3 linked regions of the Drosophila melanogaster genome follow. The protein of the gene in region 1 interacts with the protein of each later gene in a biochemical or structural test. Each region holds a gene or a part of one and is shown on either strand. Other genes may lie near its edges.

Region 1 (6,730 bases):
AACTTGGAGCGGCTGGAGCTGCGCTGGGATCCGGACAACCTGCGCTTCTCCGACAAGAGCCAGAAGGCCATCGATATTCTGCGCGTCAAGTGCCTCAAGCTGCGCTGCATGGTGCTCAGGTGGGTCTACATCAGACTCCTATTTCTATGCGGGATTAACATCAATATTTCGCTTCCAGCGATGGTCGCTACTATGAGACGGTCAAGGCCAACTTTGAGCGTGCCGATCGCATCACCGTGGTGCGCACCACCACCTGCTGCCGTGTGTCTCCCTATCACCTGCTCCGCAACTACAACGATTTGATTTTCAACTGAGCCTCTGAGGTTCAGAGCTGAAAGCCAAGAGAGGATTGGTAGCTTGCACTTACCCGGTTGCAGAGCTCTGGATGGGATTTACCCACAACAGGGCCGGAGGAGAAGCAATGTTTCTGTGTGTTTTCGCTTACAATAAGAGTGTTTTAATGTTTTCTGTATTTTCCGCTTCTTTCGTTTAATTACTTTAAATCTAAATAAACGTACATAGGTAATTTAAATAAAAACAAAACAAGGATTTGCTTATACAAGTTATTTTTACATTACAAAATTATACAACGCAACTTTTCGCCTTGCTCTCGTTTTTAAATCATTTTTTTTTTTTTTTTAATCATTTCAATCCGCGTTGATTCGTGTTTTGTTTTTAACTAGATTTACTTGGTAACTTGATTAAATCATTTTCAGACTTCACCACATAAAATGTTTATCGTTTTTGCGTTTTAGCGTTTTGCTGATGATTTTTACACTGCTTTCATCCATTGCAAACTTAATGCTAATTTAATTTTTTTTTTGTGTGTGTATGTTTCAACATTTTTGAATCGACTTTTTACCATAAACTTAACGTACATATGTAGATCATCTCCGTTTGAATTATCGTCTCATTGCCGATCAGCGTTCAGCTATTATATGCATGGTATATAATTTAGTTAAGCATAGCTGCGTGAGTTATACATACGTAATGTCTGTGCCTATGACGATATAGGATCGAAGGTGGGTGCTGTGGTCGAGTGCTGGGCATTGGTGTGCTGGTGTGTTACGAATAGATTGCTCTTTGGGCAGGGGGAATAGAGAAGCCTTGGGTCGCTACAAAGATTTGCATTTATACATAAGTACACTAACGCACAGAACGTTTCCAAGTCGTAAGATATATATATATATAAGAAACGCAAGGTACGCCGAGCGCTCCCGTTCCGTTCGATTCGGTCCTAGCCTACCCTATATGCGACTACTGCTGGTCCTGCGACATCCGGAACATGTGCGTCGTATTGCTGGCCGCCGCCGTGGCCACAGCAGCAGCCGAGGTGGCCGTCGGCGGCGGCGATTGGGCGGATGCGGTCATGTAGCTGCTGTCGCTGCTCCCGCTGGCGCTGATTCGGTGAGTGGCGCTGCTGCTGCTGGCTACGCTGACCAGCGAACGCGCCTCGCCCACAGCCGCTGCCGACTCCACGATGGCCGACACTGCCTCCGCCCCGATTGTCGCCGCTGCGCTGGAGGAGCTGGTGGCGGGCGCCTGTTCTGATGCTTCGACTGGAGCACGCTCCGGAGAGCGTCGCTGCGCAGCTGCGTTGTTGGCGTCCTGCATGTTCAAGGGAATAGATGTACATTGAGACTAACAACAGAGTATCCCCATTTGTTACTCACGTCTCGCGGGTATATCCGCATCGGCTGCTCGGCCTGGGCAGCTGGCGCTGGCTCCGCCTCCGGCGCATTCTCATCCGCCTTGTCCGTGTACATCATGATCTCGTGGCACAGGGGGCAACGATCCTGAACGTACAGCCATTTGCGCAGGCAAACGCCGTGGAAGAAGTGGCGACACCGCGTGATCTTGGCGGAATACATTTCCTGCAAAACGATAGTTGAGTCACGTGCAATATTGCATGCAATACAATACAATACGCACCTGATAGCAGATGGCGCAGACATCGTCGAATGCCTGCAGCTGGGCGGGAGTTGCCTCTGGCAGGGCTGAGATCTTGTGGACCGCCGAACGCCGCTTCATGAAGACCGACCAGCCCGCCCGCGCCTCGCACCAGATATTGAAGTAGGCGTGGATGCACATCATGATCGCTCTGATGCCGCCGCCTGTAGCATTTTGGGCTATCAAGTTATAGTTATCGGTACACAAAATCAACCAAATAAAAATATTACATGCACACATAGAACAGAAAAGCTGGACGCGGACAATATGGGCTCGATGATATCGAGATGGCTAGATCAGATGCCAATGGAATGCGGTGATGATCACTCGCGCTTACTGATGTGCTAATGTAACAAGGACGGGACACGCTGCGCTCCAACTTACCAGACTCGAAGATCAGAATCCAAGCACCGTTGATGAACAGCAGGATGCCGAAGCAGAACTCCACTGAGTTGCCGAACGCGCGCACATAGTACAGGTAGTCGTCCAGCTTCTCCCAGAAGAACTGCCGACGCGCGTCCAGCAGGAAGAGCGTGTAGGTGGCCAGCGAAACGAGAACCTGCGGGAGAAGTAGTAGCTGTAGCTCTTGAAGCGTACATATCGCATTCGCACGCACCTTGACGACGACCTCCACAGAGAAGGCGGTAACCGCTAGCAGCCAGGTGGAGATGGATTGCTGCGACCAGAGGTGGTAGAGCAGAGACACTGACAACACCACGAGGAACGCGCAGACGGAGAGGGCGCGCACATGGCGCTTCCGCGAGGGATTCCGTGCCGCACTGAGCGACATCAAGATGGGCGACACGATGTTGTGCAGGAAGTGCAGCAGAGCGGTCATCAGCAGGCACAGATTGCGGCACAGCCTGATGAAGCGTTTGTCCGGCGACAGTGAGGTCAGGCCCGTCTGCAGAGCGAGGATGTAGAAGAGCACTGCGGAGACAGTGCCCAGCGACTTCTCCTCGTCGTCGTAGGTGAGCAGGTACCACTGGAAGCCGCGTCCGATGTAGTGGCAGAACATCGAGATGACGCCCGTCATGCCCAGCACCGCCGTCATAGTCTCACAGCCGTCGACCAGCAGCTTCTGTGTGGCCGTCATTAGATCCAGGGGCTCATCCGATTCCGTCGTGGCCAGGGCATAGCCGCCTTGGATTAGTCTGAAAAGCAGGGTGTTCTATTCGATCATTATGCATTTAAACCAGTTAATCCGTTTGCTTCGGCCATTAATAACATAAGTCTCGGAATGGATATTCAATTCTGTGATTGATGGCCTTGTTCCATTGACACATTAACGCTCCAAATGCAAGAATTAGAATGTTCCACGTGCATGATTAACATAAATTAATGAACCGCTTCGGAAACGAAACCCACCTGATGGTCCAAAAAACCCTCAGAACGTTGGGCACATTGAGCCTCTGCCATTCGTTTTCAATGAGCGCCGACAGTCCAAAGTTGGACACAAAGTTCATGGCGTACTGGTATCCGTTGTAGACCGTGCGACTGGCCTCCATGGCGCTCTGCATCAGCGTGATCTTCGTGAGGATGATGGGCGTGAAAACGGCCACCACGGGCAGGTGTTGCACCACCTTCGCCGGCAGCGGCAGCATGGCCAACAGAATTGGACTAGCGAAGATGATGGGCATCGATCTCTGGACATGTTCGAACCTCGGTCCCAGGTGAATGTAGGCGAACAGCATGCCCATGAACCACTGGGCCATCAGATGCGGCGCCAGCGACATGACCACCCCGCCCGAGTCCAGCAGCCTAGTGGTGTTCAGTGACATGAGGTCCTCCACCATGCTGGGACTGCGCTCCGTCAGCGCCAGCGCACTCACGTTCGACCAGTAGGACAGGAAGGTGAGGCCCAGCGAGGTGAGGAACATGTAGACCATCACCAGGTGCCGGGTCCACAGCATGAAGATGCACGCGGCGGATAGGAAAGCTGCAAGAAAGCACACAGATTGTGAGTCAGGCATATATCTACGTTTCGCTGGCGTTCAAAGTGCGCCCAATAAGCGGCCCTTGGAATTCTGGATGACTTCGCAGGCAGATCGAAAACAATGAACTCGAAATAACTTAATTGCCTGTGTTTACGTTTTGGGTTCAATGGGAATGCTCAAGCTTGCAATTCACGCTTTTTAAGGGGTAACTAACTATTCATTCATATACATACATGGCCTTTTTGCTTGAGTAAGCATTATATTCGATTCTGCGATTACTTGTTATCTCAATTTAACTCATATCTAAGTTATTATGAAAGTTACTGACTAATCCTTGACCATGACGTGTAGTTAAATGTAGTTAAATCTCATCCCTGACCTTATATGCTGAGCATTAGAATTCTAAGCAGATATATAGATGTGACCGTTCTAAGCGCAACCCCTGTAGATGACTCACCGAACACGCATAAAACGAACTTGACCGTGGTGGTGCTGAGCACATCCGCCAGTGTTTGGTCCTTGGACAGCTCGTTCATCAGCGAGTTGAAACCGGAGCTGAGCATGCCGTGCGTTTTGGCCGCCTCGGAGGCCTTCTCGATGCTCTGTTCCAGCACAGATTGGGCGGAGGTGGTCATGTGGGAGAACAACTCCTTTATGCTGGTGAACGGATCCTGGCCGGATGGCACCGCTGGCGCTTCTGTGGGCGTAGCAAGTGCGCCACTGGCCTTGTCCTTGTCCGGATAGAGCCACGACTGCATGCCCATGTCCATCTTTAGTATCTCATCGATGACCATCACCGGTGGCACGCGCATCATCACGTCCACCAGGCCGAGAACCTTCGTCCGCACGGACATGGCTCCCTATATGTATCCGTAACCGTATCCCGTATCCTTCTCCGGGCTTTTGGCCTCCTCGCTTTGCTTTGCTGATCCCGCGTGACTAGGCACTAATCGCGAGCCAATCGAGCTCCAATCTGCATTTGTTGTGGATTCGCCTTCGTCTTGGATTTCGCAAAAAAACAAAAAATAGACGACGGAATGACGATTTGGCTGCGTGAGTGTGTGGGTGCGTGTGTGTGTGCGTTCGCATGCAGCAGGTGCAAATTCCCGCTGGCGCGTCGTGGAAAAGGTCGTTGCGGCAGGCTGCTCGTTTATGCTCCGCTTTTGGCCACACAATTGCGCTGCGCTCTAAACTTTACACTTTTCACAATTGGTTTTTGTTTTTCTCCTCTGCTTCTCCTCCTTCTTCAGCGGCCCATCTATCGATTGGTGCTGCTGCCTATCGCTGCGGTCGCCAGTGCTGCCCCGCGGCCCTGCTTTCGCCGGACTATCGATTGTCGTTGCCAGCTGATCGTGTGGCGCGCTTTTTGAAAATTCCCTCTGCCTTTGAGCCGCGAAACGGCGCGTGTTGCTGCGTGTCGGTCTGGGGTACTGGTAATTTTAGGTATTCTGTTCAAAAACTACGTTCTAAAGGGTCTGGTCTAGCCTTCTGTGTGCGATAGAGAGACACTATTGGGCAGAGTTTACTTTAACTTGAAGCCGATTGAGGTTTGGGTAGCAATTTGGTTACGACTTGTTGCTTCAGTTATTGTTGAAACATTTAACTGCATTTACTATTTAGTTTCTAATAGTTACAGTTTTACATTCACTCAATATACAGCCTAGGCTGGTGTTAACAGAGCTGTTAACTGATATGTCCAGTGTTGACTAGTGCTGCTGTTAACTTGGCGCGCTGTCTACGAAATTTAAATTTGTGCTGAATCCAAAAAGTAATAACTAGCAGGCTAGAATATCCGATTACGTAAGGTATTTCATTTAACATTATGCTTACAGAGGAACGAGCAAACCCCTTAAAACATTTCCTCTGCTCATATTTCCCGAAATGCCCGCAGTTTCTAGTTCTAAAAGCGAACATTTCCTGCATTCTTGCGAATGCGCCCAATTCCAATCCAATCCGTATCCGCAGGGCCCCGAAGTCATTTACGTGAATTTCCTCAATTGTTCGGCCATTAACTTTTGCCATTTGCCACCTTAATTGTTGTTCTTTCTTGTTTTGTGGCACACAGCCCCTGGAAGAAGCCCCACTCCCCCCACCGAAATCCACAACCCTTTTTGCTATGCAAATGCACAAATTGAGGCAACGGCAACGGCAAATGCGATGCAGTCCGCATTTGGGTTTCGTTTTGGTTTCGTCCCCAACGCAACGCTCGTAATTATGCGCAATTGTTTAGCGTTTAGCTAGGAAAGTTCAACTAACATAATTGATTTTTCATGCCGCGCCACAAGAATTTTAAACAAACTGCACAGGTCATAACAAAACAAACAGACGAGGAATGCATGTTTGTCGAATTTTTTGTGTGAGCTACGAGTACTTCTTTTAGTTGTAGTAGTAGTAATGATACATTCACTATTACTATTGTTATTATATTATAGTAAAAATTCACCCAAATTAGTGTTAGATAACCACGATCATTTTCAACTTTGAGAGTGTCTAAAGTTTATGCAATATTCGTTTTTATTTATTCCGCTAATTTGCATAGTTTTCTGAAGTTTTGGGCTGGCGTTTTGTGTTGCATACTTCGTGGGGCTGCAATGTGCGCACTGGCGATTTGAATTCCATTTTGGCAGGACGTGGACGAATAGCTAACACTCCCCGAGGCACTGGCCGCCCAATATGGGCCTCATATATTCAACATAATCAGTGTAATTGTCAGCGCAATGAGCCGGGGGAATCGCTGGGCTACTGGGAGCCCAGTTCGATGGCTCCAAGCATCCAGGATCCGCTCTCTTCGCGGGTCTCACGCACGGCAATTGTATAATTTATCGCTCCAGTTCTAATCGGCA
Region 2 (3,736 bases), about 13 Mb from region 1:
TGTAGCTCTCGCTCCCAGGAGCAGACAGTAGACTACGGGTCTGTCAGGGAAACCCTAGAGCCCATCGGCAAACACGCAATCGGGGAATACAAGTTGTAAAATAAACCAAACGATGAAAATAATGAAACCATTTGATTGATGAGAGGGACGCATTCGCGGCTTGGCTTGTATAGCTAACCAGGCTGTGTAATATTTACTTTAAAAATCCCGAAGCAATTAGGGAATGTTTCAGTCGGTGGGCTTCAGTTGTTGCTTTGAGACCGGCTCGGGTTACATAATTCTAGACCAATTGATTTACCCAAGCATCACATTTTCGACAATGTTTTATCGCCATGTCCAATTATTTTATATTCTATAAATGTCAAATGCAGAAGCGTTTTTTATTTAACAATAAAAAGGTTTGTTTATCTGAAAGAATATAATAAATGGTGGATCGGCTGTTTTTCGTCCAGGCGAATAAAAGTTTCAACTTTTACTATGCCTTCCGTCGTCTAATACATAAATAACGAAAACAGTTTCTCTACAAAAAAGAACCCATTTTAAAAGTAAAAGCGTTTGAGATTTTTTTCATCAGCCTATGAGGCGGTTTTATAATTTCCTTTTTCTTTTGGATAAGCTTGACTTACTTAAATATTTCCCAGGGAAATGAAAAGAAAATTCACAATGCATTTTAAAATTCATTGCGAATTTTAGTGTTGAACTATTTGCCCAGTCCGACCTTGTTGAAAAGTTTGTCCTTAACAATCTGAGCCATCAAGCCGTGTATCAGTTCAATGGTGGAGCGGCTGCAGTCTCGGGTGGCCTTGGACAGCTTATCCTCCGAACGCTTCTCATTGACATCGGTTCCTGTGGATAATAAAGCGGGTAAATTATTTGCACAATTCCTAAATCGACCCATTATGTACCGCGACCTAAAAAGTTCTCACTCTGCTCCAGCTTCTCGGAGAGATCCATGATCTGACCGGTGGTGTACTCTGTGTTGGTGAGCAGACCCGAGCTGCCCAGTGTGTTTACCCAGTATTTGTTCCACAGAGAGTCGAGGAGCCTGCGGTCCAGAGCAGACTTGAAGTAGCTAATTTCCAAGGGATAGTACTGCTTGCAGTGGACTCCAAAGTCTTCGATCTTATTCAGCGGGATGGTCTGATACTCCGAGGGCTCCTCGTTTGGTGGCTTATAACCTTTTGGATACGTGCGGAATGCACCCAGACACACCTTGCCAGCGGAAACAGTGCGCACCGGATCAACCACAATGGCCACGAATGGCTCCTGGTATGTCTGGTTGAGCATCTGGGTGGACACATCGATGCCGGACAACCAGCAACCGTAACCGGGATGGCTGTGATACCAGCCCACGGCGTGTTCCATGCGTCCCACCTCTTTGGCCGCTTCCATGTAGGCGGTCATGTACTCGTACGCTTGTGCCTGGGCATTGACGCGGGTTTCAGTGCCCTCCACTGGCAGTGCAAATGCATCCATGACAATCTGCACGGGAATGACTTATAAATTGAGGACCTTTTTTACATTCAATAACTCACCATTGTGTTGTCCTCTACCTTGCCAAGCATTAGACCCATCACCTCCAAAGTACCGCCAGAGCGAGCGTGCATCACCATCTTTAGGAGCGCCAGAGCCGAGATCTTAATGTCCTTAAAGAAGTGGGGATCTTTCTCCCAGGGCTTCGCATCGATGATCTGCCGCTGCTGTTCGGCGTCGTAGCGAAAGATCTCGTCACAACTGGGCAACGTCTGGATGTTGTTCTCCAGCTCCCAGGTCTTTTGTGCGGCGTCGGAGTCCATTGTGATTGTACTTATGCCGAAAATTGTAGTCTTTTGTTGCAAGTTTTTGTTTTCCGGCTCAATTCTAGAGATGAACTTGTCGGTACCATCTGTACAATCAATTTCATGAAGGTACAATCGATATTTTTTATAAATCGATTATTATAAGTTAAGAAATTAAAATATTGATTAAAAAATTTAAAATTTATCTATATTAACAATTTATTTGTTTAATAAATAAAATGTATTTTTAATCGTTAATTTTTTACCAAGGAAAGTTTTTTAATTTAATTTTTCTGTTTACGATACGCACTCTAATTTGCAGCATTTTTGACTAAAAAAAACTTAAAACCTTATTTCATAGTGACAAAATGATTCATCGCAGTATCTGTAATCTGTATCTTTCTTTTCACTTCTTGAGATTAACCATTATTAATAATCACATAATATAAACCACTTTTAATTCAAGTAAGTTGTCAGTTCCTGCACCCCGAATTTTAAATGTAACGCATAAGCCGGCGCATTAAAAGCAGGTTGGCAGGGCTTGCGCGTCCATTGCAAAAAAATTCCTGCACAGAGTTTTCGCTACAATTAACTTTGGCAAGCTCGTGATGTGGGCCGTAAAAACAGTGTCTGGTGGAAAAGTGTGAAAGAAATCAGTGAATAGTTTGTGGGTGTTTTGTGTACGTGCATTTACCGTATTATTCCCAATAGCTTTGCGGCTTTTCAAAGTGCTCGCTTCGGTATTCGTTTTCCCCGCACCCAAGCCGCATTTGCGACGCCGCTTGGAAAATGTCGCTGGATGGCGGTAGGTTGCGCTACGAAGACGAAAATGGTAAAACCGTGGTTCTGGCAGCCAAAGGGCGCACCTTCCAGGTGGGCTCCTACTACAATTGCGACCTCATCCTGGAGGGGCCAGAGGAGGAGCGTCTAATTTGCGAAATAAACTGCGATGCCTTCGGCAGGGTGAGTCTGGATGGCAGGAATCCCCCTTAACCGCCCTAACATACTGCTTCTTCCGCCCTTAGGTCATCATATACAACAAGTCCAGCGGAGACCCCATTCATCTCAACGACGTGGCCATCCACGCTGCAGGCAAGCGTCCTTTGCTACACGGTGGCAAGATTACCATTCGAGACAAGGTCTACACGTGGGAGTTCCCCAAGACCTCCGAGGTGCAGGATGCCCCATGCACCCCAGAACGCCTATTGCCCAACGAACAGGCCTCAAACTCCTGCCCTTCATTGAAGGTAATAGCCGCCATCTGTTCCAGATAGTACAGTATTCCAAGTCCTACAATTTCCCCATTTTTATTTGATTTAGCAATCGCATCGTCTACAAGCCGAAAAACGCCTGACAGTTCACAAGTAAGTGAAAACAGCAGGCAGACCCCTAACCGACTACCTGGCCAACCCCTAAAATGTCTTTGGGCAACAACAATAGGAAAAAGTCCCTACTGCAAGCATGTGTTGTCTGCCTGTTAATAGTCCTCATAAAACCTTATCTCTGCTTATACCTTTTCAGTTTTCACTACAGCATCAATTCGGACGACGAAGGAAATACTTCTATAGAGTCTCGTGATCAGAGTGAGTCTCACTTGGAGGATGTCTCACTGAATGAATCAATTCAGCGCAGCACAGAGGAGACAGCTTACGAGTCCCCCAAAGTAAATCTTCTGGAGGCTACGCAGAATAAGGAGAATACCGCAACGCCACCAGGTAGCCACCAAAAGCTACTAAGGCTGTGCGCCATCTCCGACGTGGTTATTACCTCTTATTCGCCGCGCGAGACTGGCGTGAAGATCGAGAAATCCTTTTCATGTGTTCGAAAACCTGGCTACACCACGACGTCTTTGGCTGTTTCCACGCCCAAGAGCGTATACAGCACCCCCAAGGGCAATGTGCTCTCTGAACTAAACGAAGACAGCTGCAGCCGAGATCTAATGGACTTTAGCACGCCAT
Region 3 (3,908 bases), on another chromosome or scaffold:
CCAGGTCCGGTGTATATGGATATGGTTTAAAAACCGGTAAAAAACGTGATTACGTAACAGTGATCCTAAAGTAACAGCTCCTAAGTGATCCTAAATCGAAAGTGAAAACTGAACGACCCCGAGTTCAGGGGCAGCATGGCGTTTGGGTACAATGTTCATCTGTCAGACCCATACATATTACGTACTAATATAATTCATCCGTCTGGTAGACCCTGACCAACAAGTTTCTGTCCGCTAATACGATGCGTATATATGTTTGTCTACTCGGTTTAAGAAGCGACAGTCCTTTTGGGAAGAAATTAAAAGTCTAGGAAAGTAAAGTTCAACACATTTATTTAACATTATTTATTGACTTGGGGGGTGGGCGGCGATGTACTCCAGAGAACGCTGGATGGCCTCTGGAATTGGTGGTGGGGTGGGCAGAGGAGGGTTGGCAGACACCACCTGGTAACCGTTGGCATCGGCGATATATTGGATGGACACTGGCACATTTTCGGGAGATGTCCACGACTGGCTTCCCTTCACCACCCACTCTTCGCCGTTAAGGTCACCCTTCTGTTGCACATTGACAGAGTTGTCCAGCTCAACAGCGTAAGCAAAGCCGTCAACATTCACTTGCTGCTCGGCACGGAGAACATTGGCATCTTCGTTGGCGAGGGCGACGGCCAACAGGCAGGCGAAAGCAATCTACAAGGATTGTAAATAACAAATCAGCTAGAATCATTAAAGGATCAATTTGCGATAAAGCCACTTACGAAGAACTTCATGTTGATTGTTGAAAGACTTGAGAAGGCTAACTGATATCGAACTGGAACTTCTGCCTGCTTTTTATATGATACTGATGCTCAGCTTACCTCTGCCGGTGGCGCCCAAGTTCAAGTCTAGAGACGCGTAGGATTTGATTTCATTAATTATGCATTAGATAAGACAAAATACATGTTTATGTGTGCCTCGTTATTGCCGTTCAGTTAAAGTTCGCATTGAATCCCATAATAATGCCCGAAACAGACGGAAGACGAGTTTGACGCGGAGACATTAACTAACTATGTGTCAACTAGCAGACACATTGTAAAGATATAATTAATTCTCGAATTATTTTTGTCAAAAATGTCGAATTAGCATAATATTTGGCTACGGCTAGCCAGCCAACGACCGGTTTGCGTATCTCCGGTGCGTATCTCTCTTGAGTCTAGCTTGGAGCGGGCACTTGGCCAGGCCACCTTGACATCCCTCCTAGAAAGACGTATGCATTTGATAAATAATTCGCTTTATTATTCGTTCAGTATTAATCTACAGCTAGGCAGTGCCGCTCATCAGTTTCTGGACAGCGCGATCGAACTTCCTGCAGATATAAAAGTAACGTATTAAGAGCAACTTATATATTCTTTAAGGAGAAGCCCGCTTACTTTGAAGTCAGCGATTCGCCGGGAATGTAAAAGGGATTGCAGATGGCATCGGTGTAGAGCAAGTGGAGATTTCGGAAGATCTGGAAGATACAGAGGGTAGGAGGTATTTGGGGCTTTCATTTAGATAGTTAGATTGGATACCCACTGCTCGAACTTCGTTTTCCCGAAGGGCAACGTTGCTGGAGTCGATGACCACTATGAATTTCACCCGAGTGTTGGTCACAAAGCCGTATCTGTAATGAAATCAACCACCAATCAGTTGCAAATTCACCAGCATAACTACACCCAAGTACATTTTGTGGTTCTCTGTCGAGTAGAGCAGTCCCAGGTACAGCTCCTTGGACTCCGGAGCACCCTTGCCAATCAGGCACTTCTCCTCCACGACGTCTAAGGCGGCGTTAACATGATATTGCAATTCCAGTTCCTGCTCCATATCGGATGTGGTCAGGTACAGGGGGGCGTTCTGTGGGGAATTTGTCATGCAATTAATTGTATTCAAATGAAAAATAAAACTCACATCCTTGCCAATAACTGCTATGCAAAATGCCATATTTTGTTATTTCTTGGTGTTTATTTGTTTACTTTTCGCGAGAGGCGGAGGCAAATCAGCTGATTTACCCCTTATCGATAAGACATTCATCGAAAGTGTGGCCAGCTGCAGTGACACGCAGCAGGAAAAATGTTACCGTAACTGATAAGAAGTGAATTTTATCTATACTTGTTGTTAGCTTGTTGTGATTTGATTCAATCCAATTCCCACGGCTTGTGCAAACGTAAAACAACGAAAATTGATTTGGCAGCCATTGCAGATCGGCTTAGCACCCTGCTGGAGATGGCGCTCCAAATAGCGCAGAACAACCGCGACGGCCAGCAGCTGGTGGGCGCTGATCAGGGAAAGGTGGAGGTGTACGTGCTGTTTGCAAACACCACCTATCGCACCCTGGATCTGTACTGGGTGTGCGAGCGGGAGCGGGAGAACATGTACCTTACCCTCAAGCCCTTCGAGGAGGTGCGGGTGAACACGTTCACCACACACAGCTGGCTGTTCCGGGATTACTACACGGGCGAACGGATGCACGTACGCTCGCAGAGGATCTTTCAGCCGATTCGGGTGCGGGTACCCAAGAGCCAGCAGAGTCCGGATCAGCTGGTTGACGTACGCAGCGAAGTGCTGATCCACTTTCCGATGAGATCGCTGCGCGAAAACTGCCTCTGGCTGGTCGCCCGCTGGCTGATCCGGACGAGCAACGCGCCACGGAGGATTATCCACGGATACCACATACCCTCGACGCTGAAGCAACAGCTGCTCAGCCTGCTGACCTGCATCGAGTCCTATTCCCGAGTGGCGGGCACGCGACGTCGGCGTTAGGAGCACACTCCTAGTTGTTAGTTAAGAGGGCGGGTAATCATCTTAGGGACTGAGAGACAGGCTTGATTTCCAAATAATTTAATAACTTTAATTGATTTCCATCCTGGTTTTCGATTTTCGCTTATTACTTATGTACAAATTGGCTTGCATAGAGCTCTTTACAAGTTGGGCTACTACCATTGCATTGATTTTTCTGTATATTTAACAGATTTCTTATACCTATGTATGTTCTATGTAAATAATTATGTATAAACCTAATGTGAAACAAGTGTGAATATTACATACATACATATATGCGCAATACTCTAGGTCTAGTTGCTTCAGATGCAAATACGATTTAATGGTATGTCTGCAGTTACTCCTTTGCAATGCTTATCTACGTGTGTCGCAAGCCTAATTGTTATAAGTCTGAATCTGAAGTACATATTTATTCCTAACGAGAAGTGAACAAACAAAAGTACTCCGGTGCACTTTTAAATTTAAAGTTAACGCTCGTACAGATTCTCCTTGAATGTGTTTGTGTTTGTCCACGAGTCGAGTCGAGAAGAGATGAGACGAATCGCAGGTTAACTCAAATATATTGCAAAATCAACTTATAAAAATATAAATTGTTAATCGATCTGCTCAATCTCGTTCTCATTCAATAATGCATCGGTACTGCTTCGGTTAGGCGGGAGATCACTTGCCAGCGTTCAATACTTGCGCGTCACGCGCTCCAAGCTATCCCCGATCGAACCTATGGGGCGGATATATATAAGCACAACTCTCGGTTAGGCAATAGCAATTGCAGAAATCAAGTATGCGTTGTGTTTGTGATAGGTGTTCTTGTGTTGTTCAATGCGTGGGCTCTCTTATTTACCATCGTAGTTGAAATTCTGTTTGGTCTTGTACTGAAACGTTAGATCGGTCGACTGCTTCCAGATAAAGTGGCGCACCGTGCGCAGGTCCATGTTGGGGTCCACAACCTTTAAAGGAAAGGCGGTGAACAAGGTCCTTTAAATGAGATTTGTCCATTTGTCTTACCACATCGTTACACCACAGTTCAATTCGTTCCTCAGCTGGCAGTTGGGATCCCTCCGAATTAGCATCGCTCTGGCTATTCTGCAGTGAATTGTTAGCATTGCCCCCACTTG

What was found.
Region 2: the proteins of Trc8 (region 1) and CSN5 form a complex in vitro, tested with the Drosophila melanogaster proteins (2 studies listed by BioGRID).
Region 3: the proteins of Trc8 (region 1) and Vhl form a complex in vitro, tested with the Drosophila melanogaster proteins (one study listed by BioGRID).

Annotation. Positions count from the first base shown.
Region 1 is NT_033777.3:29,498,385-29,505,114, forward strand, and holds Trc8 (TRC8 ring finger protein), read right to left. Parts: upstream 5,166-6,730; 5' UTR 4,742-5,165; coding exon 4,345-4,741; intron 3,890-4,344; coding exon 3,319-3,889; intron 3,105-3,318; coding exon 2,567-3,104; intron 2,510-2,566; coding exon 2,335-2,509; intron 2,130-2,334; coding exon 1,933-2,129; intron 1,875-1,932; coding exon 1,674-1,874; intron 1,609-1,673; coding exon 1,258-1,608; 3' UTR 641-1,257; downstream 1-640. Other genes in the region: FipoQ (F-box involved in polyQ pathogenesis), read left to right, coding at 1-119, 179-314. UniProt on the Drosophila melanogaster protein: Plays a role in growth inhibition that is dependent upon COP9 signalosome subunits CSN5 and CSN6. May modulate signalosome levels or compartmentalization. Probably functions in the same or a related pathway to VHL during early midline development.
Region 2 is NT_033777.3:16,468,239-16,471,974, reverse strand, and holds CSN5 (COP9 signalosome subunit 5), read right to left. Parts: upstream 1,877-3,736; 5' UTR 1,797-1,876; coding exon 1,536-1,796; intron 1,483-1,535; coding exon 906-1,482; intron 847-905; coding exon 701-846; 3' UTR 569-700; downstream 1-568. Other genes in the region: CG42232 (uncharacterized protein), read left to right, coding at 2,568-2,741, 2,804-3,025, 3,099-3,142, 3,300-3,736. UniProt on the Drosophila melanogaster protein: Probable protease subunit of the COP9 signalosome complex (CSN), a complex involved in various cellular and developmental processes.
Region 3 is NT_033778.4:11,277,640-11,281,547, forward strand, and holds Vhl (von Hippel-Lindau), read left to right. Parts: upstream 1-2,085; 5' UTR 2,086-2,238; coding exon 2,239-2,775; 3' UTR 2,776-3,394; downstream 3,395-3,908. Other genes in the region: Cpr47Eg (cuticular protein 47Eg), read right to left, coding at 346-687, 756-767; CG9067 (uncharacterized protein), read right to left, coding at 1,297-1,342, 1,407-1,486, 1,552-1,639, 1,700-1,869, 1,924-1,956; CG9062 (uncharacterized protein), read right to left, coding at 3,468-3,511, 3,635-3,740, 3,799-3,908. UniProt on the Drosophila melanogaster protein: Involved in development of tracheal vasculature. Probably involved in halting cell migration at the end of vascular tube outgrowth.